Oryzias latipes: one gene and its partner. The protein of the gene in region 2 interacts with the protein of the main gene of each other region in a biochemical or structural test. Links are inferred from orthologs where the notes say so. Each region holds a gene or a part of one and is shown on either strand. Other genes may lie near its edges.

Region 1 (3,762 bases), on a different chromosome or scaffold from region 2:
ACAGCCTTCCCAGAAGAGTTGAAGCTGTAATAGCTTCAAAAGGTGGACCCACATCATATTGAACTATGGGTTAGGATAGGGATGCCATTTCCGTTCATGTGCGAGTCAAAGTGGGTGAGCCAATACTTTCTCGATATAGTGTGAGTTTAAGAATGTGCTATAGGGTGCACCTTATGATCTGGTGCCCCCGTTTAGTGCGGGAAATATAGTACATTTTTGCTTCTTCTTCCAAGCTGGCATCTGGCTCAAAACTGCACCGCAAATGTTAGGTTGGGGTTGTGAGGGGCTGTAAGCTAGTGGGAGAGAGTGTAAACAAGAAGGATGACGGGGAGTGTGGTAGAGCTTACTCCATGCCAATGGCCCCACCCACAACTCAGAGGTCAATTTCTGATGAGCTTCTGCAGAAACTCTGTCTTGGTAAACGGCCCAGATTTTAGAGATTTTACTGGAAAAAAATCATAATCATAGTTTAAAGACCACTGCTTTAACATAGATCATAGGATGATTGGAGTGGGACTTTAAGCTGATGTCGGATGTAGAGAAAAAGACAAACACCGTTCGTCATTGCTTGCAAATAAATCTCTTTTCATTTAAAGAATATTATTATTTACAACACAGTAAAAATCCTCACAATTCTGTCGCCAAAACACTGCAGTTTCAGAGTCTTTTATTGGGAACAAAAGAACCAATGAGAACTCTTTGCTGCCTGCTGATTATTTATGGCAAATCCCCCCCCCCCTTTTGTGTTTTGACTTCTCCTTTTTCTTTTCTTTTTTTCTGGAATCTCACTGCTGCTCGTCCTTGTTGATGATGTTCTTGAAGAGCGTCACCAGTGGTTTCTGGCGATCCTCCTCCCAGCTCTTCATGAAGCCGCCATAGCGTTTACTGGCGGGAGGGCCGCTCCAGCGGAAATGCTTCATCTTGTAGGAGCCATCCTTCTTCTCCTGCAGGCCAGCCAGGAGATGCTGACGCTCCTCCTCCTCCTCCACCTCCTCCATAGCCCTCTCCTCCTCCTCCGCTGCAGCCGCCAGCAGCTCATTGGCCAACTCCCGCCTCCTCATCTCACCTGGGAAAACCTCAGAGGACTCCTCCTCCACTCCGTTTGGGGTGTAGACCTTGACGGGGCGACGTTTGCGCCCGACGGGCTTGCCCCATCGGAAGTGCTCCATGGAGTAGGAGCGTTTGGTTTGAGGGGATGGAGAGATGAAAGAGAAGGGATCTGAGGGAGGTGGAGGCTGGAGGTGGGAGCTGCCTGGGATGAGGGGGGTCTCGGCGGTGAGGTCAGAGCGGCAGAGCTGGAGGCACTCCTGGAGTAAAAAGATGAGATTGACAGTCAACTGAAGGTGTTAAAACAGCAGATGTGTTTTTGTAATGGGAGATGTGGATGTTGAGTTTAAAGTGCTTATCACATTTTCCTAAAGAAAAACCTATTTTTGGGTCAAAATTTGCACTTTATTTTACAGATTCTCAAACCCCTTAAATCTGAATTATTGGTAAATGTAGGAAGAATTAACCAACAGAGAAGTCGAGTCAAAAAATTCTGTTTTGACTCCATTTGAAGCAACAAAACAGCTGAACTGTGGATGAAAATGATCAGGAAATGCAGATTCTGCTTATTGTTGCTTTGACCGTCTTCTGTACCGTCATGCTGCTCTCAGAGTCCAGCTCCTGGCAGCTGGAGTGCTTCCAGCATTGGCCGACTGCTCCTTCAGCCCCACCGACAACCACCACGGCCACCAGCAACCAAACGGTATACATCCTCTGTGAAGCAAAAAAAAAACACAATCCCACTCAGTTTTGGAGTTTTAAAATCAATTTTTATGTAGATTAGTTATCTTTTGGGGTTAATTTTTTTTTCAATTATACTCTTCTTTTATTGTTTACATTTCATTTTTTAAGTAAAAACCACAGGTTTTGGAAGTAATTTGACAAGAAAAAAAACACATCTTTGTTTTTAATATATGTTAAAAAAACAGTGGTGGCCACAAATCTGACTGAATAAAAACAAAATCAAAACATTGATATATTATTTTAGCACCTTGTTTTGGCACCGGTTATATCATTTTTTTAACCTTTTTTTTATTTATTCAATCACAAAGGTTACACGTTGTCACAAAAATTAAGAAAAGTATATCTAAAATCAAATATTTAAACTTTTTAAAAGACCTAAAACAAGCATGTTAAGAAATTTACATTTCACCATTTTACCTTAATAATATTATTAGATGATGCAAAATTATTGTATTAATATATGTATTTTGGAGATCAGATTGGAGAATTAACAAATAAAAATAAAATATTTATTTAAGTTTCATATATTAAGCACTTTGTTTTCTTAACCTCGAATATTTAACACTGGTCTTAATTTTTTTTTTAAAATCTGCTCTGATTTAGAAACTGTTAGTTAAAAATTATTAGTAATTTAGTAATTAAGTGAAGTAAAAAGGCTGTAAAACTTTAAAAATACAACTTTTTTTTACATTTTCATTATAAAGTACAATAAAATATTCTCACCCCTCCTTATAGTTTCTTTGTCTCTCCTCTTCCTCTTATTGCTGCTGCTTTCTGTTTTGTTTAGCCGCCGGATGAAGATTTCCCTTGATCCTCTTCTGCTCTGATGCTTCGAGCAGAGTTGGACTTTTATATTCTGCTGACCAAGGACGCACACACATGCGTGAACACACACACGCATACACAGATGACGTGTGCATGGGTTTGCGGTCAAAAACGCACACAAAAAATCAATAAAAAATGTCCCAGATCCACCCTCGTCCATTCACTGCACACACACGGATACAAGCACACACACATGAAGACCTGCCTTCATTTTTTTTTTCTATTTTGTTTTCTCGATTTTTAGACAAAACAAATGTTTTCAGAATTTATGTTTGTCTTTAACATCACAGATTTTTTGGTCACTTTTAATTGTAAAAAGCACAAATGGAACAGAAAACAAACACATCTAAGCTACAGCAGCTAAAACTCATCAGTTTAAATCTGCGTGAAAGCGCCTCGCCGCTGCTGTTGTCTGTGAAATGTCAGGCAGCAGCTTCTGCAGCTTAACACCCAGGTGGGATTTCGTCAAAGTCGCGGGTCAGGGTGTACAGTCACACACCCACAAAGCTGCGCTGAGCGGCATCTCTTTGTCCAGGGTCCGGGTGGCCCTAATGCTGAATCAGTGGAGAGTTCATCTGATTTCATGGAGCAGCTGATGAAGAGCAGCCACATTTTCCATCCAGGACACGCTTCCCACAGCTCCTTATAATCAGTGAAAAACATGTAGATGCATGGCTGCTCCCCTTCTGTTAATAAAACAGATCATCTCCAAACAGCTTGATGTTCCTGTTACTTAAGCTTATTAAATATACTGTGAGTTTAAGGTCAGCAGCACTGTAGCCAACGTCCATGGACATGGCTGCAGAAGGATATTTTTATTTAATCTTCATTCAACTGAGAAAGTCACATTTAGATAAATTTTGTAAAGTGGTCCTGAATGTTTGAAAAAATATTGAAAAGATGGATCAATCTCTGGGCACTCCAGACTCCAAACACATGCTTTATAGATTGATTGGTTACTCTAAAGTGTCCCTAGGTCTCTAGGTGTGTGAGTGTGAGTGCGACAGACAGGCACCCTGTCCAAGGTGTACCCCGCCTTCATCCAACAGTACCTGAGACAGTTTCCAGCAACGCTGTGACCCCAAAAGGAATGAGGCAGGTTGAGGAAATGGTTGGATGGATGGATGATCATCTTTGGATCTATTA
Region 2 (3,731 bases):
TTCTTCTGAACATAAAACAGACCTAAACAAAAACAAAAGGAAGAATGCATAACGGTCATGTAAAATAGTGCCTGAGAAAGTCATGATTTGAGATTTTCTTTTCACATTTAATCCTATTTTCCGTCAGTGCATCATCAGGAAGATGGACCTGAGAGAAAGGGGGTTTGTTGCTTGTGCTCCTTTTTCTGTTGCCGTAAGGTTTTTCCAGGGATGTGAGCAGAACCTGGGCCATCTCCCTTAAACACCTTCACACACTGTTCTGGCTCCATTCAAGTAAAACACCCTGATTGGCAGATCAGACCAAGCCAAGTGTGTTTGATTTTAGAATTACCATTACAAGAGAAGAAGTGTTTTTGCTATTTTCTTTTGATGCCAGTGGAATTGTTTGTATGTTCATTTGTTTCTCCCGTCCATCATCCTGTGATCATGGCTCCGTTTCGGTGCGTGAGCTCCTGGTGCTGCCTTCAGGTCATTTTTGAAACCGTGGGACTTTTGTGTTCCTGTAACTCTGTGGAATCCAGAGGTTGTAGATGTGGATGCATGCTGGTCACATGAGCATTCCTGCTACATGCCACTCCAGGACAGTTGATTGGTTGAACGTTGCAGCCACACAGACACACACACACATACGTCACACACACAGGAGAGCGTTGGAGCAGCAGAAGATCTCCTTGAAGGTTTTCCTCATCTCCTGGCTCCGGAAAGCGTAGATGATGGGGTCGATGACGGAGTTGCACATGATGAGAATGAGGTACATGTTGAAGTGCGACATGAAGCAGGTGCAGTAAGGGTTCCTGGGGCAGGTGATCATGAGGATGAGGTGGAGGAAGAACGGCGCCCAGCACACCACAAACACCCCGAGGAGGATGGTGAGGGTGATGGCGCCCTTCATGTTCGCCCGCTGGTGGATGGGCGCGTTGCCCGGCAGCGCCGCGATCCGCTTCATGTGCAGACGTGCCAGCAGGAACATGTGGACATAGAGGGAGGCCATGAGCACCAGCATGGTGAAGAACATGGTGATGAGACAGATGAGCACCGTGGTACTCTCCGAGTAGATGATGAAGAGGATACCCGACACAATGCAGCACGTCCAGATGCTGCTGATGACCACGGCTGCTCGCCGCAGCGTCACGATGTTGTGGTATCGCAGAGCGTAGAAGATGGTGATGTAGCGGTCAACGGCAATGGCCAGCAAGCTGCAGATGGAGGCCAGCAGAGAGCTGCAGATCATGGAGTCAAACACATTGTCCATGCTCTTGATGAGCCTGACAGGAATGCTCAGGTTGCCTCCGTTAATGAGCGCTATGACGATGGTCTCAGACGCGTTGGAGACGCTGACCAACATATCGGCTACTGCGAGGCTGCAGATGAAAAAGTACATGGGGGAGTGGAGGTTCTTGTTTTTAACGATCGCAGCAACAACCAGGATGTTCTCCAGCAGGCTGATGATGCCCAAAGTGAGGAAGACCTCAGTGGAGATCAGAAGCTGCTCGTAGCATCCCGCCGACGAGTCTTTCTGTCCTCCCAGGTCAGGAGGGAGAGTGGCCGAGGAGAGGCTTCTGTTGGGGACCGACCCATAAGGCAGAGTGGAGTTCATGATGACAGCAAGCAATGCTTTTCTTTGTTTCTATCAATCCATGGACTTTATGAGCTCCAAGAAAGAGAAAGAAAAAAAAAGTCTTCTTCTCTTTTTCAGAAGACAGTCGTCTGTAGATACCTTTTATTTTTCCACTCTGGTTTGTCAAAAACCCTAAAATAAGTCTAAGAAACGGAAATCAGGAGGCTCCCCGTCACTGTGCTCCAGCCAGCAGAGCATCGCTGCACAAGCCTGTTCGGTCTGTCTCTGCCCTCCGCCTCTCTGTTATTATAGCAGCCCCCCACCCCACCCCATCCTGTCTGCTCGCTGATAAGGAGGGAGGAGGAGGAGGAGGAGCTAGGTCGACCAAATGCATGAATGGAATTTTCACAATGGCTGCTGCAGCACTTCTTCCCCTGTGGTTCATTTGATAAAAATGTAAACAATATAGAAAATTAAAAAAAAGCTCCAACAGTGAAGGAAGGGAAACTTTAGTTTCAGTTTATAGATAAATTTGCTCATGAATATGAAATTTTCCACATTTTGATGTAAAAATAGAGTAATCCTGCAGTAAATTAAATGTTTTTAAACTAAAACTTTGCCTCATTGATGCATTTCTCTTAGTCAGCTTGTTTATGAATATACATTAAGCTGACATGAAACCAGCGACCGTCTCAGTCAGAGGCTTGTTGTCATGAAGACCCTCTGCTGAAACACAGAAAAATGAAAATAAACATACTACCATCCAGAAATGAAATATGTGAGTCTCTGTGGTTTGTCCTCAGAACAGGAAGTGTTCCATCACACAAAAATGATATTATAAATGTAACTGTTATCTATTGTAATCTATTACTTAGAAAAGAAGGAGAAACCTCAGATGAGGAGACCCGTTCAGACTCTAACGAAAAGAATGCAATGAGAACATTGGAGGAAACAAGAGAGATGAAGACTCAGCAGATACTTGCAGTAGACTAACCCTTTCAAACCCCCCCCCCCCCCCCCCTGCCTGGCTCGTCTTTTACGCCTCCATCAGTCAGGGGTCCGGGGCAACTCCATTGTTATTCAATCCATCCCTAAACAGCTGAAGAACAGTTCGTATCACTGTCAAGCTCCTGACTACAGTACCCATAATGCCCCAACAATCCATCCAGCAGTGTGGCTTTTACCAAAGTTGACCTAAAACATTTTGACAGATTTACGAGCGCCGTTAACCACAGAAAATCAACTGGAGGTCGGCAAGCACAACCAGAATTTATACTGAAGGCGCAAATTGGAAAAAATGTATTTATTTGTTTACATTAAATCAAACTGCTTCTTTCACTGCATTGAGATGAGCTTCTGTGACATTTTGTCAAAGACCTTTGTCAAAAGTTATACTTCCTGAATAAAAAAGCCTATTTTCTCTTTATTTTTATTTATGATATAAAACAAGAATTCCTTTATTGTTATCATAATAGTAACAAAACCATTACTATAAATCTTAATCTTCTGAAGGGTGAAGTCGGACTTTGGGGCACGTTTTAGGTTGTGGTCGGTCAGTGAGAAATCGACTCAAATGGGTCTTTTAGTTAAGAAAAAGCTCTTCTTGAGGAGCTGAAGAAGCTCAAGCTCCCAGCCAAAACCATGGTGCAGTTTTCCGCCATTGGTGAGTCCATGCTGACCTCCGCCATCACTGATTAGAGCCACACCCAGGATCAAACTCAGACAGCAGACAATGTTTACTATGCTGAGAGAATGATCGACTGGACCGTTCCGTCCCTGTTGGACCTGAACATATCCTCTACATTAGGGATGGACCTGAACATCTCCAGAACTCTGAGACGTGCAGGTCACTCTGGACACTCTGGGAGGAGGTTGAGGTCCATCTGTCTAGACGAGGGTTGCTCAAATCCAGGCCTCGAGGGCCGGCCCCCTGCTAGTTTTCCAGAAACCCTGCCTTATCTGCTGTTGATTACATGGATCAGGTGTGTTTAGCCGACGAGGAGCTTCAATGGCAGGATGGTTGGAAACCATGTGGGACACCGGCCCTCGAGGGCTGGATTTGGGCGCCCCTGGTCTAGAATCTTTAGCCAGATTCCCGGGGATGTAAATCCTTCTCTCCCAAGACACAAAACTAATTCAGATTCTGCAGATCAGGACCTCCTCACCACAGTTT

Evidence for each region.
Region 1: the proteins of melanocortin receptor 4 (region 2) and pomc form a complex in vitro, tested with the Homo sapiens proteins (2 studies listed by BioGRID). The link is inferred for Oryzias latipes from reciprocal best matches to the Homo sapiens genes MC4R and POMC.

What each region holds. Positions count from the first base shown.
Region 1 is NC_019860.2:10,968,633-10,972,394, reverse strand, and holds pomc (pro-opiomelanocortin), read right to left. Parts: upstream 2,636-3,762; 5' UTR 2,515-2,635; intron 1,762-2,514; 5' UTR 1,759-1,761; coding exon 1,642-1,758; intron 1,308-1,641; coding exon 786-1,307; 3' UTR 651-785; downstream 1-650.
Region 2 is NC_019878.2:23,831,322-23,835,052, reverse strand, and holds melanocortin receptor 4, read right to left. Parts: upstream 2,466-3,731; 5' UTR 1,598-2,465; coding exon 632-1,597; 3' UTR 525-631; downstream 1-524.